7 linked regions of the Coturnix japonica genome follow. The protein of the gene in region 6 interacts with the protein of the main gene of each other region in a biochemical or structural test. Links are inferred from orthologs where the notes say so. Each region holds a gene or a part of one and is shown on either strand. Other genes may lie near its edges. The genes, in order: JAM2, JAM3, CLDN1, claudin-4-like, claudin-8-like, TJP1 and CGN.

Region 1 (4,117 bases), on a different chromosome or scaffold from region 6:
TCCACAAGTAGGCTTGAGGCATGTCAGGCTTATGCCTGAATGGGATGCAGCTGGGAAGCGTGGCTTTAAACTTCTTTTCATTTTTTGATGGCAGTGAGAAGATGACTATTCATTAGCTCTTCCATTCATGTCTTCTAGTTTGGTATTTGTAAACTGTGATATATGAGTGATTACAAAGGAATTAAATCTTCCACTTTTAACCATTAACCAGACAGCCAGTTCTCATGGAGCGGTACTTTTCCCCCTGCATTACATGCTTGTAAGTGGAATCATAGGCATCTTCCTCTCTTACCTATCACTGACATGATTATTTGCATTGATTATTGCATATGTACGTGTGTGTATGTATATACATATATACATACATAAATGTGGTGTTGTTTTTTGTTTTTTTGGGTTTTTTTAGCAGAAATATTGCTTGTATTCTACATACATTTTTGCACTTGATTGATAGACTCAGATTTTGATGTGAAGAGTTTCATCCTAATCCTCTGGTTGCTACTAAAAGAGCTGCCGGATACTTCATTTATAAATAATCTTTCCCCATTTTGCTACAGTCTAAAAATGCAGCCAGTGTTGCTGCACTGATCATCAGAAATACTTGTAAAACTTTTCCTGTTACAGAACCATATCACATCACTAGTGTATTTTAAGATGTCATTAGAAACGACTCGGATGCAGAATTGGTTGTGATGAGTTGTTTTCCCCGATTCCTAAATTTAAAAGGCCACTGCACCTCCTGCATATTTAATGAACAACTTTACAAGCCAAGTATAAAGAGCCAAGACAGGAGGCTGCAGAGGTGACCGTGCTGCCCTGCTGTGCTGGCGTACACACGCACACAGCATCCTGCCCTGCACGGGTGTGATGGATGGCTGTGACTGAGCTTTGTGTCTGAAGGTGCTCCCTGCTGTCACCTTGCTCCCTTTTTGCCCAGAGCATCCACCTGCACTTCTATTTCACCATTCACACTGTGACACCCGTTTTCATCCCGCTCCTCTCCATCCTGGATGGGTGTGAGAGCAGAAGCGAACACAAGCAGTGACGGTGAGCTTCTCGAGGGAGAAGTTTAAGCTTTTTGTAATCGAAGCCAAAGTTTATTCTGCCGCTGCCAACGCCCGTGAACTCACACGTAAACACGAACATACGGTCACGGAGAGCTGACAAGTGGGCACGGCTACGAGCCCTGAAGGACGACTCGGGGCCCGGGGTCGCCCCGTACAGCCCGGGGACGCGAAGGACCTGACAGCCGCAAACTTCGGCGCCCACCGCCCGCTCCCCACCTGCTGCCCCGGCGCCGCCTGGATCTGCCCTATCGGCCGGCACCGCCCCTTCGGGTCCCGCTCCGCAGGGGAGCTCCGGGGCGAGCGCAGAGCCCCGCAGCCCTGCGGGGGCCGCCTGAGGCGAGGCCGGGCCGGGCCGCCCCCTCTCTCCCCTACGCTCCGTTCCGTTCCATTCCGCGCCGGCCGGGCCGCGCCCCACGCCCCGCCGCAGCCGGCGTCGCCCCGCGGTGATTATCCGCTGCCGCCCGCGGGAAGCGGCCGCTGCCGGGAAGATGGCGAGCCGCCGCCTCCGCCTGCTGCTCCTCGGGTACTTGGGGGTCCTCTACTGTAAGTTGCCGCGCCTCTTCCCTGGGAGCACGTTCGGTGCCGCGTCTGTCTGTGTGCACGTGTGGGTGTGCGTATACAGTTGTCCCTGCCTCAGGGAGCGCTCCCGCAGCCCCCGGGCCGCCTGCTGTGTTCGGGCTACGCGGGGCGCGGAGGCGGGTGGCGGCCAGGAGCTGCCCCGCGGGCAGTAGAGGGCGCCGCGGGGGGAGCCCGGCTGGGGCGCGGGTCCCTGCATCGCCCTGGGGGGCAGCGACCGCGGGGCTGGCGCGGATGTTGAGTCGCTCCAGCCTTAAGGCGAGCTGACCGCTCTGTGCGGCGCTGCGAGTGTTAGGATGCGGGCTGCGCCGCGTGCCCTACGGGGAAGGGATCCTAAGAGATGAACGGGCAAGTGGCAGAAACGTGCTTTCTGCGGGTAGCGCTGCTTTGGAGCAGACTGATGTTACCAGAGCGTTTACGGTCCCGTTTAACTCGTTGAAAAACCAGGCGGAGAGATGTGAAGTTGGCAAAAGCTGACCCACCCAGAAAGCACATGGAAATAAGTGAAAACAGAGCACGGGGCCGAGTAGCTGCAGAGAAGCAGTGAATGAATATGTGGTGTTCATAGTGCCAGTCATCTGAAGAGGCTGGTGCTTTTGGATCACATCTGACTTTGCTCTTGTGTGCTCTGTGTCTCATTGCTGCCTTTGGGAAAGAGACAATATGTGGAAAGGATGCCCTGGAAAAAGAATTGTATAGGTCATGTTATCTTGCTAACAAAGTGAGAACCTGAGACCTGCCTGTTCCAGCTGCTCAGTAGGGCACTCTTGCATTTAACTTTAATTCCTGCTCATCTAACATAAATTTGTGTGTGGAAGACCTTTTTTAGAGGAGGGCAGACTCAAAGTGACTCTGCTAGTTCTTTGGCTTGGTGGTTGGTTTTCTTTTCCTCTGTCTTCACCAAACTGTTTTCAGTTTTGCCCCCTCCTCCCCAAGAAGGCCCTGGAGTGTGTACAGGGCAATAGAGCTGTGAGGGGTCTGGAGCACAAGTCTGATGGGAAGCAGCTGAGGGAGGGTGGGTTTGTTCAATCTAGAGAAGAGGAGGCTCAGAGGAGAGCTCATCGCTCTCTACAACCACCTGAAAGGATGTTGTGGTGAGGTGGGAGTTGGCCTCTTTTCCCAGATAACAGTGATAGGATGGGAGGGAATGGCCTCAAGTTGTACCTTGAGAGGTTCAGGTTGGAATATTAGGAAAAGATTGTTCTCAGAAGGAGTGGTGAGGTGCAGGCACTGTCTGTGGAGATGTTTAAGAGCTGTGTGGATGTGGCACTGAGGGATGTGGGCGTGGTGACAGTTGGACTTAATGATCTTTTCCATACGTTAATGATTGTTAATGTTCTGAGAGGACAGACCTTCAAGTGATGTACACTATGCTTGTTCTCTGGTTTGGTAGCAGTTTTCCTTTGTTTTTACCTGTACAAGACCTTATGAAGAACCTGGGTTGTTAGGTGGGTGGCTTCCTCTATCACACAGTGAATTTAAGACAAAAAAGGGTTCTTTGATCTTTTTTCTTTATTTGTTGTTAGTTTCGTGGGCATATCTAATTAAATAAGGCTACTGTGTTTTATTTATTTAGTGAGTAAGTGAGTGGGTTTAGCATTTTCAGGCTGCTCATTGTTGGGTTTTGTGTGTTGATACTGCTGGCTGTGGTCAGCATGGAAATGCCACAGGGTGGGTTGAAGGCAGTTCATTAGGTCTGCTGACTGAATTGTTGGCATACACTTATTTTTCTCTCTTCCTGTCACTGTTCCCAAAAAAAAAAATGCCAGGTGGAGAGAACTCAGTTTACCAGCAGTGTGCTAAGATGGAGTTTTTTTGCATGAAGAAAGTGGCTGCAGGTGGGTGTGCAAATGCTGATTGTTTCTGTGAGCTGGAGGAAATCCAGACAGAGAAAGCTGTCGGGAGTCTGCTGCTGTTCCTGGAGCTCCAGTGTGCTCATGCTGACAATAAGTCTGAGTAATGCTGGCTTTCGTGTCAGATGTATGTGTTGAGTTGTTTCTAGTGTGGGTCCGGATCCCAACATGCTGCAGAGTTAGCGGGGAATGGGCAAAAGCTAATGAGGAAAAGAAAGAATTAGATTAATGCTAGAAGAGCATGAGGGTTATGCTGTAGTGCAACTGTACAGAACTTGCTTGGTAATTCAGCTGCATGAGTTAAGAGCTGGATAATCTGGCCATAGGAAGTCAGCATAGCCAAGAACAGTGCTGAGGTCTTTTCAGTGAGAGCCTAGTAAGAAATGCTAATGTTCCAAAGAAGGAGTGGTTTCTCCGAGTTAAAGCCTCTCTCATCTTTAATTTAGGAGAAAGTAAGGGGAGTTAGAGACCGTCAGTCATACAGTCTCAATCTGTGTGAGCTCCATAAAATGATGCTGCCTGTGAATGTTTTCAGAGGTGAGCAGGCTAAGATTTGTGAGCTCTGTTGGTGTGAGTTAGGAAACGTACAGAAGTTGTTGCTATTAATAGTCATGGCAGCAG
Region 2 (3,995 bases), on a different chromosome or scaffold from region 6:
GTTGTACACTGCAGCACTTTGCCATCCTGGCTTGATGGGCACAGTATATCGTATAATATTGATCGTGACTCCTTTTCACATCTCCAATGGCTCTGCTGTGCCCTGACACAGCCGTGGGGCAGCACACAGGGGTGGGCATAGAAGTGAGGTGATATTCCAGATCTCATCCCCCACTCTTGTCCTCTGAGTTCACATCCATTTTGCTGCTTTCCCTGCCCAGGTGGTTGCTTGGTGTCGGGAAGGAACTTGGTGGCTCAGTGATGTTTAATTGCTGTTGGATTTTATCTCTCTATCCCTTCAGTCCAAAGGAAACAGGTTAAAATGACTCTTTGCTAATGGGGACACGGCCCAAATATTGGTGCTGTTGGGCTGTAAGCCATCAAGTCTTATTGAGCGAGTCCATCCCCCGCATCATCACTGAAGTGTCCCATCTGGCCATTAGGACTGAGTGCCTTCATATTAATTTCACCAGGCTCAGATCAGCCCTTTAAGTCTCCTCATTAGCACTGAGAGTTAGATCCACCACGTTATCAAGTTAAATACGTTTTTACATCCCTTAATTTCAACCCGCTCTGCCGAGCTCGTGGTACAGAGAAGAGCTTGGCTTTCATTCCAGCTGCTTGATTTTCAACAGCATCTTAATTACATCCCCATCACAGCGCACTGACGCACGAGCCGGCACCCATCCAACCTGACTTCAAATCACAGAAGGATCTGGGGTGGAAGAGACCTTAAAGTCCATCTGGTTCTGCTCCATGCAATGGGACACCCATCAGGCTCAGAGCCACATCCCCTTATCCTTGGTCTTGCAGGGGATCAAATGGAGCAGGGACTTGCTTCTCGTTAACTAATGGAAAAGGCTCTGAGATGCTTTTGGGGACTGTACAGAGACTCGGGGTGCTCTCACTCTGCACAGCACGAGATGCAGCTCTGTCTGTTTGCGTTTCTCCCTCGCTTTAACTCGTCCAAAAGTTCGCACCGCCGCTCATTGCACATCACGAGTCAGCTTTAGCAGGGCACACCCCCCCCCAACAGCCCTCCACGCACTCAAACCTCCCCCCACCGCCCAGCACTGCCCATAACCGAACCCATCCCCACCCCGGGGGCCGCCCCATCCGCAGCCCCTCCGTGCCAGGCTCCATCCTCGCAGCTCCCCGCCCGGTTACCGCAGCAACATCAGCGGCACCCCCGCCCCCGGGCCGCCCCCCTTCATCATCCTCCCCCCGTCGGGGCAGTGCGCAGGCTCAGCGCAGGGCTCAGCTCCGCACACCCCATCATGGCGCTGCGGCGGCCGGCGCTTCTCTTGCTGCTGCCCCTGTTCGGTGAGTGCCGGGCAATGGAGATCGGCCCGGAGATGCCCGATGGGTCCTTGGGGTCTGGGGGGGATGCGCAGAGGGGGGGTTAAAGGGATGCGGTGCCGCGGAGATGGGTCGGGAACGGGGATGCGCCGCTCCGAGCTCGGGGAAAGAAGGGATGCGCTGCTCTGATCGCCATCCCGAGCAGAGACGGCCCTGATCGCCGTCCCGGCTGGGAACGCGGTGCGCTGGTGCCGGGGACAGAGGGGGATACGCTGCCCATAACCCGGAGAGGAAAGGGGATGTGCTGCTCTGATCGTGGGGAACAGGAGGGATGTGTTACTTTCATCGGGGTCCCGGCGAAGTGAGGATGCTCTGCCGCCGTCCCATCCCGGGGTGAGCGGTGATGGGAAGGATGCGCTGCCTCTACCCCAAACAGGACCCCAAAGGGCGCTGAGCTGTGGGATGGGATGAGATGGGGGGGGAAGCAGCTCAGCGAGGTGCGGGTCCAGGGCTGAGGGTGCCAGGAATGTGCAGCCTCGGCAGGCAGGCAGGGCGGACACTGGTCCCTATTCAAGCCGAGGCACAGGCTCCTATTGTTCCGGGGGCCCGCATGAATGTTTGCAGTTTTTAATTGCAAAAACATTTGCTAATTCCGCTCAGGAATGAATTCGGGCTCATTTGTTGTCTGGCTATTAATAGCGGGGGGATGAAGAGGGGGGGACAGCAGCCGGTGGGCTCCCATTGCCCCCCACCCCCCACTCCCCCCTTCCAGGCAGGCGACAGAAGGAGAAGGGATGGAGGGAGGTCAGAGTGCCAATCAGCAACTGACTTGGAAAGTTCAGCCACTGAGATCCACGGGGCTGTGCACACAAATAACTGCGTTGGGTCAGCTCGAGACTGGAGTGCATTGAAATATTTCAGCCAGTTTATCTAAGGACAAAGGAATTCTTCAGTCCCTAATGGTTTTCAGACGTTGGGGCTTTGAATTAAGTTAAGATTTGGGCTCTGTTCCCTCCAAAATTAAGGGGTGAGAAGATACAGCCGTTCCACTGCAGCACCCATTGGGATGAGGAGTGCAACTGGGGGGCTCTGTTTGCTTTGCTGTGGTTTGAGGCTGAACTGTGAGTACCCGGAGCATCACAGTCATCCAGGTCCCAACTTTGGATCTGGGTGTTCCATTTGAGTGAGGAAAAACAGCAGATTTCACTCAGCTTCTCCTGCAGTTGGGCTCAAGGGGCATTTCCTCTCCTCCCTCTGTGCTGGAGCAGTGCTTGAGCATCCTGTTGAATGCGGCCTAAAAGACAGCAGCCTGGAAATGAGCTGCAGCTACTTGGGTGCTTCTTTGGACAGGCAGGAGTTGCTGAATGCAGGCAGACCCCGCTGCTTTCACACCTGGTTGCACTATAGTCATATTAGTGAACCGGGAGGAATCCTACATTAAAGGTGCACTGGGTTGCTGCTGTGTGGTCCCATAGGGTTGTGTTTGATGCCAGCCCACTGGTTGGCAGAGAAGGAAGGCAACAAGGCCAGTGAGATGCTGCAAAACTGCTTTAGGAGCTCAATGTGCTTCTTAGACTATAGAGCAGGGATGGCCTCTGTGCTTCTCTATCCAGAATGGACCCAACTCTTGGTCATGGCCTCAAAACATTGCCACAGCACAGAAGGCAGTGAAGCATGGAGAGTGCAGTGTGTACCCCGCTCCAGGCACTAAAAGCATCTAAAGATTCTGCATATGAGGGAAATGCCATGGCCGTAATTATGCTAGCGGAAATTATCAGCATCAGTGGTGGAAAGCAGAGCTTGTAAGCAACATCTATGGTGCGTCCTGCCTCGATGCCTCTGCTGCAACCTTCCAGCATTTGGATTTGGAAGCTTTCACGTGTCAGACTGAGGGCAGAGCTGTGCAGCCCTTCCCAAAATTCACAAGTATTTCCTGATGAAAATAAAAGCACGTCCTCAATGGGGAGGCAGGTCCTTGGCACGTTGCGGTGCCAAACTCAGCGTGCTCCAATCTCCCTTTGATTTATCTCTGAGGTTTGAATTGTGCAAAGGCCATTTCTCAACCTAGCAAACAGAAGTCCTTACTTCCCTTTGTGTAAGCTATGAAGTCCATCTGTCCCAGCCACCAACAACTGTTCCCACTCAGCTGTCAGCACCAGGAATTGCTTGGTGCAAACGCTGCTGGCCCTGCTGCAGCACCGATGTTGTTCCTTGCTGATAGGAGCTATTTGCAGCCATGCTTTCCTTTCAGCAGGCAGTGAGAAAGCAGGACCATCAGCTCCGAGAGCAGTGCCAAAATCAGATGCTTAATAATGTCTTCCAAAGAATTCCTGGGGAGGGCTTGGTGTTCCTATTCAGGCACCACCACCGCAGAGCTGTTGGATCCCATCAGCTTTACAGCTGTTGACAAAGAACGTGACACCAGCGCATTCCTTTTTGCTTGGAATGCTGTCAGGAATTAGTTGGTTATTGAGGCACAAGTAGATCCAGAGAGTAAAATGTGGGGTTTTTGTAGGGAGAAGGAGCAGAGGATGGAGATGCTGCCCTGGTAGTGAACTCTGCTTCCTCACTGATGTGTTTATTTTCCTTTAAGAGTTGAATTCCGGGTCTCCCCGCCTGCTGGGTTGTTTTTCACTCATCCATCCCCACACTGAGGGTTTGCACCAGGAACACAGGTTGTGCTGCCAGACCTCACCT
Region 3 (4,272 bases), on a different chromosome or scaffold from region 6:
TGTGGGATGGTCAGGAAAGGGTGAGTCGGTTCAGTGCTCTGAAGCACCCAGGAACTCTGTGCACTCCATTGCAGGTGGACATTATCAGACTGATAGCACTACCCAGACATCAATGTCTAGACACTCCTAGCCCTGCTCTCCCCGGGTGAGTGTGGGTTTCTGCTGTGTCTCTTCATCAGGGACTGCTTCTCCCAGGGATCAGCTGAAGGGCAGCACCACCCTGTTCTCTCTGCTCCCTCTAAGAGAACCTTTGATGAACGCGCAGTGTGATGAATCTACTTTATTATCTCTGCATTGCCAAAGAAAACTTTTCTGCCTTCCTCTTCTTCCCTCCCAAACCTATAAAACTGGACTCCACGAAGACCCAGAAAAACACCATTCCTTCAGCTGCAGATTCACAGCTACCTAATTGCTTTCCCAGCTTAAAACGCCACGACTGGATAGGTTTGCTGCCGAGTGAGGATAGATTTCATCACACCGGTGAGCTGGGCAGCTGCGAGAGCTCGGAGCGAGGCAGCACAGCTTTATCCCTGCCCTCTGTGGTCGGGTTGCAGTTGCTTTTCTCCCCTTTGCCCCCCCTTCCCTTCCCCCCTCTCCCGGCGTTGCGCAGTACCGGTCAGGTAATCACGAGCTTGCTTGTTTGTCTGTGTGCAACCTCAGGAAGCAGCTCCAGCAAAATCCCCTCAGTCATCAGAACGCACTAAAACCACTGTGTCAAAACAATACAGCTCCATCCCCACCTCCAGCAAAGCCTTTATCGGTAGTTACCACCTATTTATCCCAGAGCTGGAATTACGGCAGGCCCAAGCCGACCGTCGGGCAGCACCACCCAGCCCCACCATGCTTCCCCCCCCTCCCCTCCCGGCCCTGGGAGGGACACAGTGTTCCCTCATTGAGACCGGAACCGTCAATACCCAAACGTTCATGCAGGAGAAAGGGAAACTATAGTCAATAGACAAATACACGCTTGAGAAAGAAGGCACTCCTTCCTGGTCTGTAATCCACTTGCTCAATAAACCTTTTAAAATCACTGCGCTCACTGAAGCGTTCAGAAAGGTACATTTCTCATTTAACAAAGAGGTACAGCGCTCGGTCCTTCTTGAAACGGTGGAATCGAAACTTTGGTTGAGCGTCCCGGCAGCATTTGAAAGCTCTTTAAAATCAGAAAGAAAATAATAGTTTCTATTGCTTCTCTACTGTTTTTTTTCCCACAGCTGTGTGCCCGGTGGGAGATGCCCTGTGCCCTCGCCCCGCAGCGGTGGTGCTGGGGGAGCTTGGGGAAGATGTTTCACATGAGTGCAAGCATTGAAACCCCCCACAAATCCCACCCGATGGGCACAGGCGGAGCACCCCCAGAGGTGCGAAGTATCACCCACCGGGTGGGAGCAGCGCAGAAACCCCCGCTGGGCGGGGCGGTGGGGGGGGGGGTGCGGCCGCTAGGAGGCGCACTTTGAGCGGCTTTAAAAGTTACGCGCAGCGCTGCGCAGGTGCCAGTGCGCTGTACGGTGCTGGTTGTATTTGCGCGTTTTTCATCGTAGCCGACCTCCGCAGGTGCGGAGCAGCCCCGCGCAGCCATGGCCAGCGGTGGCTTGCAGCTCCTGGGTTTCGTACTGGCCTTCCTTGGCTGGATGGGCATCATCATCAGCACCGCTATGCCCCAGTGGAAGATGGCATCGTACGCGGGGGACAACATCGTGACGGCCCAGGCACTCTACGAGGGGCTGTGGATGTCGTGCGCCATGCAGAGCACGGGGCAGATCCAGTGCAAGGTGTACGACTCGCTGCTCAAGCTGGAGAGTAAGTCGGGGTGGTTCTGGGGGGCGGCGGGGGGGGGAGCATATGGGAGCTGAGGGTGCCTGTCCCATCGAGTCTTTCCCACTTTATGCTGGTCGGTTTTGTTGGAGCTCAGGCTGAAGGGCTGGGAGCGGGTGTGCCACTGTCGTCGGGTGCTCTCTGCATCGCTGATGAGGTGCCGACGATGTAATGAGTTGGGGCTGCTGCCCTTTGGATTGTTAGGATTTAATCTTGCTGAAGTTTTCCGCCTTACTACTGGTCCCTTACGAGGTTACGGTGTAGGGCTCAGGGTGACCCGTCCTGCTGGGTCCCCTTTGCTTCGTTGTTCGTCCCGTCGGGGCTTAGGTGCGTGTCCTCAGCGCGGCAGGATCCGGCAGGGGGTAGGGACCCGCAGCCCTTTGCCTGTCCCTATAGCAGCACTCGGGGACGGAATATCGGGTCCCTCTCGTGCGTCCGGAGACGCGCCACGACTGCGAGAGAACTTGAAGTGGTTGGAATGGGCAGGGACTGTTTTTGTTGGGCTATGCCTCAGCGGCAAAGTTGTGGAAAACACTGCAGAATTTGGCTTTGCAGGCACTGATACTTTTGTGTTTGACTGTTCTGTTCTTCTTGTTGCACTTCGACGGGATAACTTTGTTCTCTGGGAAATGTTACCTAGGAAAATCACCGCTCCTCCTGCGGGGGTTTTAGGCAGAGAGCTGGCAGGTGAGCTGGCTCCCAGCCCAGGCAGCGCTACTTGAGGCTTCTAGGCAAAGTAGTCCGTTCAGGTAACGCCAGATCCTTTGTCCCATCCTGAGCTGGCTGCGCAGGAACACAGCGCACCCCTTTCGATGGTGGTTGTTACGTTGAGCTGTCCCTGTCTCGGCTGTTTCTGGAGGACTGAGTATTGAGGCAGTTGGTTGGACCTGACTTTACGCTAACATCTAAGGGGGCTTTAAAAAATATTCCTTTCCTTCTAACTCTTCCCCCCACCCCATAGCAGGGACCAGTGAGATCGATTTGTCCTTGGAACATCTTCATCCTTCTCCCTCCCTAATGAATAAAACACTTAACTACCACCTTGGTCGCCTTCTCTTTCCCAAAGAAACAAACACGTCGTTTCATGTAACATCACAGTGAGCCCATTAGGAGTGCCCCTAAGTTCCCGTACTGCCTCCCCCATGCCATGCTGTAGTGCTGCCCACCCCGGGCCCCACCTTCGCTGCTACCAAACACCAACAGTTCCCTCGGCTCTGTGGGCCCCACAGGTGCAAATTACGCCCTTCGGGAACGCGGTGGATCTATTCAGCCCCATTGAGGTGCAGGTTAATCAGGGCTGGGTGGGCTAAGCAGGCGATGCAGACTGGGTGCAGTGATAACTCAGATGTAAGTTCAGCTTGAAGCCTTTTATCTCGCTTCTCGGGGCGGGGGGGCGGAGATGCCGGTGGGGCTGAACAGTCTCCGGCTGCCCCTTGAATCGGTTGCGAAAGGTAAAACTTGCCTGGGGGGCTTTGGCTGCAGCCCATTTTGCTGTAAATGAGGCTGCCTGCAGAATCAGCCCCGAGCCCTGCCTGCCTCCTCCAAACCTGCCCTGTTCAGCGCTGAGCGCTCAATAGCGGCTGCTCCCTTCACCTTTGTTCTGCGGACAATAGAGGCTCTTCCGAGGCTTCGGGGGAGAGTGAGGTGCCAGAGGCTGAGCCTGAGTCGTTAACAGTCCTTTATCCCCTTACTGAGCTCCTGGCTCTACAGGGGCCTGAAGATTCCCAGAAGGATAAGAAATATGGGAATACCGGGGCACGCTCTCTTGCTTGGGGAAGTCAACAGGCTTTAAATGTCCTTTGCTTTTGGCACCCCAGCTTTCTCAGGTTGTGCCCCTCTCACTTGAAAGGACATTGTGCCTTTTTCTGCTTTCCTGTCTGTTCTCCCCTCGAGGTCTTTGGGCAGTGATCTGTTATGTTGTTTTGGCTGGAGATGTGATTGCCAGCTCTTACCCGATTTGGCAGCCTCACCCTGGGACAGGTGCAGCTGTGCAGCAGGGCTCTTTTCCCGTGTTCATTTATGTGGTGATACAGCAATGTGGGCTGCAGAATTTATCCTGGCTCTTGTTTTCCTGCCAGGGCATCGTGCATGTGCCCTGAACCAGGTGTCTCAGCCTCGTGCGCTGATGGGAGAGGCTCTGATCCTGCAATTACTTTGCCCACATAGAAAGGATTGACTCTCATCACCTGCCGTAATTCATTCTTGTGGGAGTGGTGAGAAGTTTTGCTAGCAAGTTTGTGGCTACTTGGGAGCTCTTCCCATTTCTCTACGTATACCTATGGTTGCTGGGGTTGGCAGAACCTTGCCAGGTTCTGTTAGCCGACTGAGGGGCCTTCAGCTTCCCATGTGGTTATGCTGCTGAAGTGCACCATGCTGGCACTCCTCCCACACTGCATTCAGCTGAGGGCTTATGTCAGGCTGGGACATGCTCCCATTCAGGCAATAGAGAAAGGCTGTGTT
Region 4 (3,017 bases), on a different chromosome or scaffold from region 6:
ACTGTGATAAGGGCCTTGGGGTGGGGTGAGCCCCCCGTTTTGGTGTGGAGGGGCTCCTGCTGTGCACAGCTGGGTGGAATCCTTCAGCTCCGTGCGATGCTGCTGTCACTGCACTGCTGCCTGCCGAGCCCTGTGTCTGTGGCAGTGCTGGGACACGGGCTGCCTGGGGGTCATGGGAAGGGCACGACGGCTGCTTCTCCATGTCAGGCACCGCTTGGAGGATGTGTCACATTTTGGCTTTAGTTATGGTCACTGGCTGTCAAACAGCCATGCTGGCACCTGCTGTGGCTCTGACATTGCTGCACAGTGCATGGCCGTGCCTTGCTCCCACCTTGCTGTTTGTCCCCAGACCCAGGCACGGCCCCGAGCCCTGCAGGGATGCGGCCTACACAGGGCTGGGCTTTTCCTATGGAGCTGTACACACGTGTGCACACGCCCGCTGCAACCCCAAATGACAGTGTGGTTGGCGCAGCCGGCTGTGAGCCCAAACCACATCCAGCCTGGGGCAGGGTCAGCCCTGGTGCTGCCTCCCCATGGGGCTGCCCCAGGCAGGGGATGCTGTGGGGCAAATAGGTCCCAGCCACCACCCCTCTGATTACAGGGAGCCCTGAATGCACTTTGGCTCCATGGTGGGCACGCTGGTATGCCAGCAATGTGGGTGCTCCACGGGTGTGGATGAATGGATTGAGGGAGCACCTTGGCAGATGGTGTCTGCCCCAGACAGGCAGCAGGGAGGGCTGCAGCAAGACCTGAGTGTCCCCATTGTCTGGCCTGGCTGGACACTGGTGTCATCCTTGTAGCATGGACCATGCATGGATCGTGGAGCTGCAGCCACCCCAGGCCCATGGGCTGTGTTGGAGCAGGAGCCTCCTCTGTGCCCAGAGACACTTGGTGTGCTCAGAGGCAGCTCCAGAGCCCATCACAATGAACAATTAGCAATTAATTAGCAATTAATCATATCAGCAAGGTGCTGTCATGTTTTACCAGCAGGTGTGAGGATGCAGTGCCTGGTGGGGGCTGGCCCTTCTGACCCCACAGGGTTTCCCTGATACCTTATCCACCCGCGTCTGCGTGCTTGGGAAACCGAGATAACCCCGGGCCCTGCTATCATTCCCAGAGATTAAGCTGGGGGGGAAGTGGTGCAGTGTCTGCCCTTTTGCTCCGTCTGGCTCTGTGCTGCTCTATGTGCATCCTGGGGGGTTTACTGAGGGAGGCGTGAATGTGTGAGGGGCTGCTGGGCTGGGGGCTCCCCCTGCCCACTCTGAGCAGTGCTGTCTCTGTTCCATGGCAGCTCCAACCAGTTTGTGAGGCTCAGTGGGGAGGTGCCTCCTGCCCGAGGCCGAATGGAGGGATGGGAAGCACTCGTACCGTGCCAGGGAACAAACAAGAGGTGCTTGTGCCCTGCCGGCATGGAGCCCAGCACGGGGCTGGCATGGGCCCATGGAGGCAAGGGCAGGAGCTATGGGGAGGAAACAGGTAGAGAAGCACGGAGGCATCCATGCAGGTCATGGAGGAGGTGCTGGGAGCGATGCTGGAGCAATTCCCATCCCGGATGGCACCGCTGTCCCCCAGCACCCTGAGCTGGGCTCAATCCAGGCGTCTCGTGCCTGCGGGCAGCGTGTGGCCGCGATGCTGCTCCTGGGTGGCCTCATCCCATCCCTGCACGGCCCGTGGGAGCAGCGATGGGCTGCCATGGCCCCATGGCCGTGGGGAGAAACGCCAGCGGAGGAATCCTGGGAAACTGGTTCTTCCCCTCCGTCCGGTGCCGGGACGGCGGAGCTCCTCCCTCAGCGAGGGCATATAACGCCCGGCATGGTCCCGGCGGGCGGCACTGCGTGGAGGGAGCGATGGCCTCCATGGGGCTGCAGGTGCTGGGCATCGCCCTGTCCGTCATCGGCTGGCTGGCGTCCATCCTGTGCTGCGCGCTGCCCATGTGGCGTGAGACGGCCTTCGTGGGCAACAACATTGTGGTGGCTCAGATCATCTGGGAAGGGCTGTGGATGAACTGCGTGGTGCAGAGCACGGGGCAGATGCAGTGCCGGGTGTACGACTCCATGCTGGCCCTGCCGCAGGACCTGCAGGCCGCCCGCGCGCTGCTGGTGGTGGCCATCGTGCTGGCCGTGCTGGGCACGCTGCTCGCCATCGCCGGCGGCAAATGCACCACCTGCGTGGAGGACGAGACGGCCAAAGCCAAGGTGATGATCCTCTCCGGCATCACCTTCATCGTCGCCGGCGTCCTCATCCTCATCCCCATCTGCTGGTCGGCCAACGCCATCATTCGGGACTTCTACGACCCGCTGGTGGCCGACTCCCAGAAGAGGGAGCTGGGCTCGTCGCTGTACGTGGGCTGGGCGGCCTCGGCGCTGCTGCTGCTGGGGGGGGCCATGCTGTGCTGCTCCTGCCCGCCGCGCGGAGACAAGCCCTACTCCGCCAAGTACAGCGCGGCGCGCTCGCTGCCGGCCAGTAACTACGTGTAGGGCCGGGGATGCCCCGCGGGGAGCGGGTCTGGGGCCGGGGAGCTGCGGAGGGGATGGAGCGAGGGGGGGGGTGCGGACAGAGCCGCCTTTGTTCACAGGGATTGGAGCTGGTTCTTTAATCCTGCTGGGATGGGAACAGCGCGCTGCCGTCCTGGCTGCCCGCCCGACAGCTCGGGGCACTCGCGGCGTGTCCTCGTTGGGGCCGGGGGGTTCTGGGCCGGGACTCTGGATGCGCCGGGCGTTGTCCCACCGGTGACACGCGGCTCCGTGCGGCTCCGACTCCACCAAACGCCGCCGCGGAGGATGGGGGGAGTCCCCGGGAGATGCCCCTCGAGTCTGTCCCAGGGGACGCCGTGTCTCCGTGGCACGCAGTGCGATCTCGAGGGACGTTTGATGCTCTCCCCCCTCCGTGCCCCCAGTTCTTCCTCTGACCTACTTTCGGCGATCTCGCCTGGCTGTACGCATTTAGGATTTCTCTCGGCAGCTCGCCGGGGCGCGGGTATCATTATCCTGGGAGTGGGAAGGCAGCGGCTGGGCTGG
Region 5 (3,946 bases), on a different chromosome or scaffold from region 6:
AATCCACTGTTGTGTCTGATTATTTTCTAGATTTTTGTTTGCAGTTTTAATAGTTTTGACTTTCACGATGTCCTTCACCTGAACTTCCCAGTATTGTCCATAGGTCACTGAAGATATCTTCGATGTACAGCTCACCTGCTATCCATAATTATACTTAATTTACACTATTATTTTAATGATGTCTTTCTAATGTGTTTGTTTGCATGCTGGTACCTCTGATGACTTTTTATCTGGAGAGCCAATAATTTTCAATGCACTGAACTGCATCGTGGGATAATTCAGTCTGGATATGAGGAAGAGTTTCTTCTCAGCAAGAGCAGTGCTGCAGTGGCACAGGCTGCCCAGGGAGATGGTGCAGTCACCGTCCCTGCGAGTGTCCAAGAGCCGTGTGGATGTGGCACTGAGGGACATGGGCAGTGGGCATGGTGGGGGTGGGCTGATGGTTGGACTGGGTGATCTTAGAGGTCTTTTCCAGCCTTAATGATACTATGGTGCTATGATAAATGCTGGGGTCACCTTTACACTGGAAAACGCTGTATTGTATAAATCACAACTCCGTGCAATGATTGAAGCACGTGGACATCTCCAGAAATTTGCCTATCCCCACATACTCTGTAGAGTATAAGTATAAAGCTATATGTGTATACAGGTATTAGCAGGTCTGAGGACTCTTATTGTTCCTTTCTAACTCTTCAGTGGTGTTTTGAAGCTCTGACTATCCTCTGAGGAGATATCCATTTCAATCTCAGAGTCCCTTTGTCCCTTTGATTTCCTTTGTTCCCTGGTGCTCTTGCTGCAGTGCTCTCCAGGCTTCTGAACAAGAGCGCTTTGCAGGCAGGGGCCCAGTGGTGGGGCAGGCAACTCTGCTTTCTTCCTGGCCCACTGCCACTGCTGCTGTGGGAACCTGAGCTGAGCTGGGGTCAGAAGCAAAGTACTGTACATTCAAGGCAACAGCTTCATTGAGTGCACCAGCATACACAGCCTCTGCCTGCAGAGTCTATTTCCTTGGCTCTGACAAATTTATAGACAAAACCTAGGGTTAAGGGTAGGGCTTTTTTTTTTTTTTTTTTTTTTTTAAACTTACAAATAATCAACTTCAATGCAAATGTACCTATCCCAGAAGGTGCATTTATACTAAGTGGCTCCTGCCGGTTTACACACACCCCGTCTCGTCTTGACTCTTGCTTTGGAAAGCTGTTCCACTTGATTGCTCGGTTTGCCTCTTTGAGTCAGTGGTGGCCTGGGAATTATAAAGATGACAAAGGCTCAGCCAAGTCCCTGGTAGCGCGTGCCAGATTCGAGCTGATTTAAGGCTGCGCAGCCTGACTCTGGAACTTTCTTCACACAAACGAAAGCTACTTTTGGACAGTTTCTTTCTTTCTTTTTTTTCTTTCTTTTTTTTTGCCATCTCGTGGAACCTGCCGAGCGGTGCACACCTTGCAGAGGCAACATGATCAATGGTGCATTGCAGATTGCCGGGCTGCTCCTCGGTGGCCTCGGCATGATTGGGACATTTGCAGTCACGGGCATGCCTCAGTGGAGGGTGTCTGCCTTCATCGAGAACAACATCATTGTGTTTGAGACCATTTGGGAAGGCCTGTGGATGCACTGCATCAGGCAAGCCAACATCAGGATGCAGTGCAAGGTCTACGACTCCGTGCTGGCCCTCTCTCCAGACCTGCAGGCATCCAGGGGATTGATGTGTGCTGGGTCGGTGCTCTCCTTCCTGGCTTTCCTAGTTGCCACTGTTGGAATGAAGTGCACGCGGTGCCGGCAGAGCGGTTGGCCGACCAAGGGCTATATCCTCTTGGCAGCTGGGCTCCTCTTCATCCTCTCAGGTACCACTGCACTCGTTCCAATCTGCTGGGTTGCCAACACCATCATCAAGGACTTCTACAACCCTGTGGTCAATGTGGCACAGAAAAGGGAGCTTGGTGAGGCCCTCTATCTGGGCTGGGTGGCTGCTTTCTGCCTTATGGCTGCTGGAGCCATATTCTGCTGCTTTTGCCGCTGTTGTGAGAAAACCAGGAGCTACAACTACTCTGTGCCTCCTCACCAGCTGCCACTCAACCAACACTTGCACGGGACCACCGAAAGTGCCTACTCCAAGAGTCAGTACGTCTAGATGCCTCCAGCCTTTTCCTCATTCTTATCTTTTCTTTAGGCATTTTTTAAAACTGTTCAATCTGTCTGGATGGATTTGAATGAAAGTTGCCTTTCCTCCTGTTCTAACTGCTGCTGTGGTCACTGCATACAACCCTCAGTGGGCTCTTCTGGAGTAACGCTGCAGCATGGACAGTTGTACCAAATGGGAAGATGAATGTTTAATGCTATCTTATAGCAACTTGGAATAGCTTTGGGGTTGCGTGGATCTGCTTTGGGTTGCATTTTATGTGTAAAATAGAAATGAAGGGCTTAAAGTTCCATGGCGATATGAAATACAGGCCTACTGCAAAGAAAAGGGGTGCTGAGCTTATAATTCCTTTTTTTTTTTTTTTCTTTCCTGGGAAAGAGGGATAACAGTGAATAAGGACAAGATAACAATGGTTTAAAAGAAAAGCGTTCACTAATGGATTGATTTACTGTGGGTTTGCTGGAGAGTTTTGTGAGGAATTTATTCATCAAAGGAAGGTAAGCTGAAATACATGAAAAATACCCCTTATTTCAGAGAACAAATACAGCTCTATATTCATCCTAAATACCATCATTTTGGTGAAAGTTACTATTTCTTTTGTAATCCATAAAGGTCGAACTCATTCACATCCTTCTTTTTAGAAGTGGCAGTTTTCCCAACTCCTTGTAACTCAGAACATTTTGTAGTATTGCATAGGTTGGACTGTGTTGGCTAGCTGCCACAGGATGCTATGAAATATATGCCTGTGAAAAATGATCTTTTGATCAGTCAGGCCCATATTTTTGCTGAGATCCACTCATACCAGCATGGTTTATAGGCAAAAGAGCATAAACAATGATAATATTTTCTAACAGCTAACACCAAAACAAGCTCAACAATATTTTTAATAACAAGATCATGTACCCATAATAAAGAACAATGTAATGAAACTAAGTCTACAGAAAAATAAATGTAGCTCCATAAAAATTAATGTAAGAAAAGACCAAAATTAATCAATAGTGATAATATTTTTAATAGAATTTTGTAACCTCGGGCCTGTGGAAACTAATGGCATTTTGCCTTTGACTTAACTGATGACACAATTCAATTTGTGGTGTTTAATGGAGAACAACATTTTTGCTCTCAAGTGTGATTGACTGTTTTAAATATTTTGTAGAAAGTTTATGATGTGATCTGTAATTCTGTGGCAAATTCCTTAGACTATTACTACTTGAAAAATCAGAATCAAATTCTTCATAACATGCAACTCTGAGCAAGCTAGAAAAAATAATCTTCACACTACTCTAAAACTGTCTCTTTGTAGTGTTTATAAGATCAATATTAAGATATTCAGGGAAAGTTCAAGTTGGATATTAGGAAGCATTTCTTCTCAGCAAGAGCAGTGAGGCAGTGGCACGGGCTGTCCAGGGAGGTGTGGATGTGGCACTGAGGGACGTGGGCAGTGGGCATGGTGGGGGTGGGCTGATGGTTGGACTGGGAGACTTAGAGATCTTTTTCTGCCTTAATGAGCCTGTCTACTTGTGTATGTAACTTTATTTTTTTCTCCTTATTTTTAAGCAAATTATTTCTAAATGTGTATATGTGTAATGATCATGAACTTTTTGTAATATAGCAGTATGTGCTTATTTTTCCTTCATATTCCTTCACTAATATTTATACTCACATCCAATCTCTTTCTGGGGGGAAAAGAAATTGGAGGATCCTACATGAACTTGTAGCTAGAACACCAGGATTTATAACAGTGTCTGCAATAAAGTACTTGTTGAGTTCAACCCTCTAAAAAGTGGGTGCAAGATCTCACTTAGAAAACCA
Region 6 (3,500 bases):
GGAGTATCAGAGGCACCACAGGAGCTGGCATTTCATTTCTTTACTCTTGCCCCAAAGTTTCACAGGAACCTGTGGATATCTTTACAACACTGAGCTTCAAGATTTCCACTGATTATACTGATTTGATTTTTCTTTAGTTGGTTAAATATTTATTTACTTGTAAAAGCACACAAGTAAATAATGTTATTTAAGAAAAACCGTGTCTTTGAATCGTGATATTCCTTCCCACTAAATTATTCTTTGAAAGTTAAGTGTGAATTTTAAAGCAGGATTTGGAACTGGGAAATGATCACTGTCAGTTGTTCTCCATCAGAATGGAATGATGGGTGGATTCCAGGGGCAGCAAGCTCTGCTCCTCTCTTCTGTTTTTTTTTTCTTTTTCCCAAGCACCTTAGAAGAATGGATCTGACAAGTGGGAAAGACTTCAAAATGCATCACTAGTTTTACTTCTTCAAAAGCTGTGTGACTTTGATTAGTCTGTTATTTTTATAGGCTTTCTTTCACTTTATTTTATTACATATATTTTAAGGCTTCTTAGTATGAGAAAACATTAAAAGACTTTGAATTTAAATAACTATACATCTAAAGGCCCCGGACTAAGTGGTTTGAAATAGAAAGGAAAATTCAGAAAAGCCTGGTGCAGCTTACAGTTGTTCAAAAATATTTCTGTTAAATGTGAGGAAGAAAATATTATGAAGTTATTAAGCATTTAATTGGCTGGAGGTAAACATGAGGACTTAATGACCCAGGTGACAATTATTGAAATAGGCAACCCTCATAGATTTTCTGGGGTGAGAATAAATCCAGACTTACCTGTGGTGAAAGCAGTGGATCTCCTTGTGGGCTCCATGGTCAGTGTGTGGTTGCATTAAATACTTTTGGATTCACTTTATCAGAAGTGTTTGCAGAGTCCTGTAACGTGTCCATAAGACATTCATACAAGGAAGATGTATGATCAGCGTAAATGTCACTTTTTGTCTGTGAACAGGCATTGTGACAGAGCAGCTGTCTTTCCTTGGGACTTTGTTTTGCTGATTCTTTAAGACATTTCAGCAGGAAATCTGTGGTGTTGATTTGGTTTCTGTGTGCAATTCCATTACAGTAGCAGCGCAGCATCTTTCTCTGAGCTTACCCCATAAATAACTTCACCAAAAAAATCTGGTGTTGTCTAAGCTGGAAGTTTATGCGTTTCTGAATATTAGTTATGTAACAATTCTGAATGTTTTCTTTTCTTGCAGTTGAAAGTTCAGGGGTAAATTAATCCAAGGGGGAAAATATTAATTTGGAAATCACAGCAATTCAACAAAAAATGAAGGTCTTTGTAAATTGAATGAGAAATTTTAGAATCTCTCTCTCTCTCTTTTTTTTTTTTTTTTTTTAATTTACAAATTTTATTGCTGTGACTTTTGTTTCTCCAGCCTCTTACAAATGTGCATGGGGACATTTTATTCCTGCCGTTAAACAGTGTAGATCCCAGGGTTCCCCTACCTACACAAGTATATTCAGCCTGGATATTTTGTACTTGAAATTTTGTGTGTCGATCATTAGCATGGCTCACTCTATGCAGTGTCTCTTTGTGATGGCGTGTACCTGTAAAGGCACACACCTTTCCTCTTTATTTGTCAAAGCACTTATGTACGTACTGAAGCCATTAATTCCAAGTTTAAAAAAAGAAACCCTAAGATATATAGGAATCTTAACGGTTACAGAGAAAATCACTGAACTGTTGTTGTCCACAGCCTTGGGCAATGCAAAAAAGATGTGTATGGATAGATGTGTGCACACATGTTTTGGTGGCCTCTTACGCCTGCAGTTGCGAAAAAGAAGAAATGTAAATCTGCTAAATAAGACTTCGTTTTTTGGATGCTCGTATTTGCTGGAGCACAGTACTCGCTTTCCTAATGCGGTGTCACACTGACTAGAGACTATTTTGCATTTAAAATATTGACCTTTCGAAACTTATTATATTTAGTTAATTGTTAACCCCATTTACATTTACTCATTAACAACTTTCAACAATCTATTTGGCATCTGGGGAGCTTACTCAAAATACTTCAATTGCAAGCTCCTCTTAGAACTATATTTAGATGACCAATGTGATGAAAACCTTAAAAACTATAGTTTTAATTACCTCTACAGCTGTAAAAGGTCCTTTTCATTTAGTTATTGCTCATCATTATTCTTCGCTAAAACATCTGAAGTGCCGTTAGTGCTTAAACTGGAAAAGGTCAAAAGCCAAATTCTGCCAGGGTCCCTTTGATTTAACCAACAGACAACAACGTGTATCACAGAACACAATTTTTAAATTGAATTAGTAGTGAAAAATATCCCTTCTAGTTTTTCAAAAGTAAAATATGTTTCTCTGTACTTTTTTGATGCTTCTTACATCAGTGCAGAAAATGTACAGATGACTCAATCTGCAAGCAGTGGTGGATTTCGTGGGAGCTGTGTTTCCTCACCTTTTGTTGTCTTATTTTGATGCTGCCTGTTTGAAAACTAAAGGTTGGATTGAGACTCCTGTCATATCACCCTTGCACATTTTTTGCTTGTATATTAGAAATGTGATATATATAAAGCGATATATTCTTTGTCTGATATGGATCTCTTTTTTATTTGACAGGGTAACTCCATCTTCCGAAAATCCCAATGGTGCTACCTGTAGTGTAAGTCAGGGAAAGCCTTCTTTAAGAAGAATAAAAGGGAGAATACACAGAAGCAAGAGCCTTGATAGCATTGATTTCTGTGAATTCACTGTAAGTACTTTGTCTTTTACATTTATTCTATCTGAAGTTACAAGAATTTTGCTGATAAAGGCGTCATTCCTCTTGCATTTGGTTTATGTCATTGTTAGAATTGAAAAAGGAGTTGTATTTAATGTTAAGAGTTAGGGTTCCGTGTTGGCAAATGTAATGAAAATGATATTGCTTATGTAATTACTGATACATACTCTCATTTTTGTTCTTGAGTAGACATTAGTCTTGTATCTTGATTTCAGGTTTTGATATTGCCTCATGCATAACAAGATGCAGGAATGAACTGGAAGTTGAGTAAATGTGAAAAATAAATTGTGTTTTCAAAATCTATTTTCATATTTACAATGTGGAAGTTGTATCCACATTAAAAAATATATATATTTAGCCAATTTTCAAAAGCTTTTTTACTATATGCAGCTGTAGTAGGGTACCAGAGAAAAATAAATGCATACAAATTGTGTGTGTTCTCAGACTACTTAACATCCTTGTTTGCATCTCTTTGGTTACACTTACATACGTTTTTTCTTTGGTTTAAGAAAATTTATAGTGATCATGGTTTTGTGAAACTTGTATAGCTTGTCCTTTAGAGATTTAATAGAACTTAGAGAAAAAATTTGCAATAGAGACATGTACAACTTTTAATTACAGAAGTATTTACGTTCAAATAACAAAAGAGAGAAAATGTGAATGAGTGTGGATTGATTAGGTGGGGATAGATTTCCCACCATTTATACTGGTCAGAAAAGA
Region 7 (3,500 bases), on a different chromosome or scaffold from region 6:
TGTGCTGTGGGATCTCAGGGCTCTGCTGTGTGCTATGGAATCTCAGGGCTCTGCTGTGTGCTATGGAATCTCAGGGCTCTGCTGTGTGCTGTGGAGTCTCAGGGCTCTGCTGTGTGCTGTGGGGTCTCAGGGCTGCTGTCCCTGCAGGCTCGAGGAGGCGAAGGCGGCACAGATGAGGGCAGAGGAGCAGCTGAAAGCGATGCGCACAGAGATGGGGACAGCCATGGACACCAGCGCTTTGTGCAAGGTATGTCCACATGCACTGCTCCACAACCATCCTTCACTGTGCCACCAACCACAGCCACCTCCGTGTCCCAGGAGCTGGAGGAGGCCCAGGAGGAGCTGGAGGAGGCCCTGAGCTCCCGGCAGCGATTGGAGGAGCATCTGAGGCTGCGGGAACGGGAGCTGACAGCGCTGAAAGGGGCTCTGAAGGAGGAGGTGGCCAACCACGACCGTGAGCTGGAGCGTGTGCGGCTGCAGTGCCACAGTGACATGGAGCAGCTCCGGCGCAGCGTGGAGGACATCTCGCAGGTGAGGGCTTTGTGTTTGGGACCTGTGTCCTCACATCCTCCATCTGCACACCATGACGAGGTTCTGTGTCCTGCCCCCACCCCTCTGTGCTCCATCCCTGGGGAAGCCTGGAGCTTATCAGTGCTGCCTGGTGCTGTGGGGCCCACTGCATCCTTGGGTCGCTTCCTGGGGAGCTGCTCTATGTGGTGTTAAATGGGGCAGATCCTCAGCATGCTCAGAGCATTCCTGGGCACAATCTGAGCATCCCCAGGGCAGAGAATCCCTGGGCAGAGCCTGAGCATCCTTGAGAGTATCCCTGGAGATCCCCTGGTGGAACATCCCTGGGCAGGGTCTGAGCATCCCCAGAGAACCCTTGGAGCATCCCTGGGCAGTGCACCCCTGGGCAGGGTCTCAGCATCCCCCATTGATGCCCACTTGGAGCCATCCACCTTTTGTTCCCCAGAACCGGGCTGACCTGGAGTCAGAGAAGCAGAAAATCGGTGCGGTGGTGCGGAACCTTCAGCGTGAACTGGAGGAGAGCGCCGAGGAGACGGGGCATTGGAGGGAGATGTTCCAGCGGAACAAGGACGAGCTGCGCGCTGCCAAGCAGGAGTGAGTCCCGGCAAATCGGGGTGTGCTCAGGGCTGTGGGGGGTTACTGACCCCCTCCATCTCATACTCCCATTCTCAGACTGCTGCAGGTGAAGATGGAACGGGAGGAGTTTGAGGAGGAGCTGCGGGAGCTGCGGGAGCGCTTTGCGGCCGCACGGGAGGAGGTGGAGAGGGCACGGAGCAGCGCAGCTGACCCCGAAGAGATGGAAGCACTGCGCATGGTGCGTAGCAAAGGGGGGATCTGGGTACTGTGTGTGCCCTGTCAGGGTCCCTGAGCCCATCCCGTCCCCAGGAGCTGCGCCGGGCACAGAAAGCACAGCAGGAGCTGATGGAGGAGAAGGAGCAGCGGGAGGAGGTGGTGCGGAAGCGGGAAGAGGAGCTGCAGGTGCTGCGCAGCGCTGTGCAGGATGAGGCCCAGAGCCACAGCGGAGCCATGGAGCAGTGCCTCCGTGACATGGAGCGGCTGCGGGAGGAGAGGGATGAGGCTGTCAGGGTGAGAGATGGGATGGGGATGGTGTATGGATGGGGATGGCGATGGCGTTGGAGTGAAGAGGATGGGGACTGAATGAGATTGAAATGGGAAGGGGAGGGAAGGGCTCAGTGCTGCCCAGCCACAAGCCAAGGGGCAATCTCACCACACCGCTGCAATGGGATCCCAATTTCACACCACATTTCCTGGGCTGGGCTGGTGGCCATGAGGCCCTTCCTGTTGCATGGCTGCATTGCAGGCAAAGGTTTCCCTGGAGGGTGAGAAGAAGACAGCGGAGGCAGCACTGCAGAAGCTGCAGGAGCAGCACGAGGAGCTGCAGAGGAAGGTGCAGGGCATGGAGGTGCAGTTGAAGGATTACGAGCGCATGGGGGAAAACTGGGAGGGCTCCCAGGCACGGCTCCGTGAGAAGGTCACCAAATTGGAGGTAATTGCGGCTGTGGGTCCAGGCTGAAGGACACGGGGTGAGATGAGGTCCTATTGGAAACGTGGGGACTTGGGAGAATGGAGGTGGCACCAGAGGGACACTGGGAGATGCTGGGGGGCTTCAGGATATCTGGGGATGTTTGGGGACATGAAGCAATGCAGGTGACACTAGTAGGACACTGGGGACATGGGGACATGTGGGGAATACTGGGGATCTTAGGGACACAGGGAGACACCTAGAGGCATGATAGGCCATAGGGGGATGCAGGTGGTGCCAGGGGGGCATTTGTACATACTGGGGGACATGGAGACAGTGGGGGGTGTAGAGGCACTGAGGGTTATTTTGACAGTGCTGTGGGACATTTGGGGACATGAGGTCACAGGGGAAGCACATGGCACTGGGGGGACACTGGGGACAGTGGGAATCGTAGAGGAGAGCGCCGTCCCCTGGAGCCATTCTCCCTCCCTCCCAGGCAGAGCGCAGACTCGCAGAGGAGTCATTGGGTGAAGCCACGGACCGTGAGCAGGAGCTGCTGCGGGCGCAGAGGTTCCTGGAGACGCGTCTGGATGAGGCACAGCGGGGAATGGCGCGGCTGACACAGGAGCAGCGGGAGCTGAGCGCATCCCTCCAGGACGAGCAGAGGCAGAAGGAGCAGCTGAAGCGCGCCAAGAGCGAGCTGGAGGAGCAGAAGCGGCTGCTGGACCGCAGCACTGAGAAACTGAACAGAGAGGTGGGGAGCGCCTGCACCCCACTGCCCCATCGCCCCTCTGTGGGGTGTGGGTGGAGGGCTGTGGTCCTCACAGATCTCGTCCTTCTCATAACCCACAGCTCCATCCCATGGGGAGGGCTTAGAGGGCGGTGGTCCTTATGGATCCCCTCCAGGTGGGGTATCCCATGTCTCGCTGGTCTCTGAGGTGCTTTGGCCCTGGTAGGGCAGGGGTGCAGGACTGCAGGGCTCTGCCCCACTCTTTGGATGTGCTTATCTCATTGTACAGATCCTTCCCTGTTACGTCGGGATGTCCCTGTTTGTGCTCACACTCCCTAAATCCATGCTGTCCTCATGGATCTGCATCAGGGGTCACATTGTCCTTTGCTCTGGGGCACCTACAGCGTCCCAGTGCCTTCCAGCTCCCATGTCACGGGCTTCTGCCAGTGCCACGGACAAGCAATGTCTTCCAAACCCCTCGCACCCCTTCCCAGCTCTGATCCCAGTGCTCTCCCACAGCTTGAGCAAATGACGGAGGAGTCCAACCGTTCACTGGCTGCTCTCAAGGCTCAGCTGGAGGAATGCAAGGAGAAATCCCGCAAGGAGATCACTGATTCCCAAAAACAAGCCAAGGACCGCAGTGCCGAGGTGGAGAAGATGCAGTTCAGCCTGGGACGGCTGCAGGATGAGGTATGGCAGGGACTGCTGGCCACAGGTGGCCCAGGTGACCCTGAGGCTGCTGTCCCCACACTGTGTCTC

Evidence for each region.
Region 1: the proteins of TJP1 (region 6) and JAM2 form a complex in vitro, tested with the Homo sapiens proteins (2 studies listed by BioGRID and IntAct, with this or other methods). The link is inferred for Coturnix japonica from reciprocal best matches to the Homo sapiens genes TJP1 and JAM2.
Region 2: the proteins of TJP1 (region 6) and JAM3 form a complex in vitro, tested with the Homo sapiens proteins (2 studies listed by BioGRID and IntAct, with this or other methods). The link is inferred for Coturnix japonica from reciprocal best matches to the Homo sapiens genes TJP1 and JAM3.
Region 3: the proteins of TJP1 (region 6) and CLDN1 form a complex in vitro, tested with the Homo sapiens proteins (2 studies listed by BioGRID and IntAct, with this or other methods). The link is inferred for Coturnix japonica from reciprocal best matches to the Homo sapiens genes TJP1 and CLDN1.
Region 4: the proteins of TJP1 (region 6) and claudin-4-like form a complex in vitro, tested with the Homo sapiens proteins (2 studies listed by BioGRID and IntAct, with this or other methods). The link is inferred for Coturnix japonica from reciprocal best matches to the Homo sapiens genes TJP1 and CLDN4.
Region 5: the proteins of TJP1 (region 6) and claudin-8-like form a complex in vitro, tested with the Homo sapiens proteins (2 studies listed by BioGRID and IntAct, with this or other methods). The link is inferred for Coturnix japonica from reciprocal best matches to the Homo sapiens genes TJP1 and CLDN8.
Region 7: the proteins of TJP1 (region 6) and CGN form a complex in vitro, tested with the Homo sapiens proteins (2 studies listed by BioGRID and IntAct, with this or other methods). The link is inferred for Coturnix japonica from reciprocal best matches to the Homo sapiens genes TJP1 and CGN.

What each region holds. Positions count from the first base shown.
Region 1 is NC_029516.1:92,152,554-92,156,670, forward strand, and holds the start of JAM2 (junctional adhesion molecule B), read left to right. Parts: upstream 1-1,317; 5' UTR 1,318-1,555; coding exon 1,556-1,610; intron 1,611-4,117. UniProt on the Homo sapiens protein: Junctional adhesion protein that mediates heterotypic cell-cell interactions with its cognate receptor JAM3 to regulate different cellular processes. Plays a role in homing and mobilization of hematopoietic stem and progenitor cells within the bone marrow.
Region 2 is NC_029539.1:2,091,540-2,095,534, forward strand, and holds the start of JAM3 (junctional adhesion molecule C), read left to right. Parts: upstream 1-1,195; 5' UTR 1,196-1,276; coding exon 1,277-1,322; intron 1,323-3,995. UniProt on the Homo sapiens protein: Junctional adhesion protein that mediates heterotypic cell-cell interactions with its cognate receptor JAM2 to regulate different cellular processes. Plays a role in homing and mobilization of hematopoietic stem and progenitor cells within the bone marrow.
Region 3 is NC_029524.1:12,063,472-12,067,743, forward strand, and holds the start of CLDN1 (claudin-1), read left to right. Parts: upstream 1-1,472; 5' UTR 1,473-1,574; coding exon 1,575-1,797; intron 1,798-4,272.
Region 4 is NC_029534.1:441,889-444,905, forward strand, and holds claudin-4-like, read left to right. Parts: upstream 1-1,337; 5' UTR 1,338-1,682; coding exon 1,683-2,477; 3' UTR 2,478-2,517; downstream 2,518-3,017. UniProt on the Homo sapiens protein: Can associate with other claudins to regulate tight junction structural and functional strand dynamics.
Region 5 is NC_029516.1:93,921,434-93,925,379, reverse strand, and holds claudin-8-like, read left to right. Parts: upstream 1-1,146; 5' UTR 1,147-1,450; coding exon 1,451-2,125; 3' UTR 2,126-3,550; downstream 3,551-3,946.
Region 6 is NC_029525.1:5,208,226-5,211,725, reverse strand, and holds part of TJP1 (tight junction protein ZO-1), read left to right. Parts: intron 1-2,620; coding exon 2,621-2,753; intron 2,754-3,500. UniProt on the Homo sapiens protein: TJP1, TJP2, and TJP3 are closely related scaffolding proteins that link tight junction (TJ) transmembrane proteins such as claudins, junctional adhesion molecules, and occludin to the actin cytoskeleton.
Region 7 is NC_029540.1:2,386,686-2,390,185, forward strand, and holds part of CGN (cingulin), read left to right. Parts: intron 1-147; coding exon 148-247; intron 248-318; coding exon 319-531; intron 532-973; coding exon 974-1,122; intron 1,123-1,200; coding exon 1,201-1,342; intron 1,343-1,413; coding exon 1,414-1,614; intron 1,615-1,849; coding exon 1,850-2,035; intron 2,036-2,507; coding exon 2,508-2,765; intron 2,766-3,260; coding exon 3,261-3,431; intron 3,432-3,500. UniProt on the Homo sapiens protein: Probably plays a role in the formation and regulation of the tight junction (TJ) paracellular permeability barrier.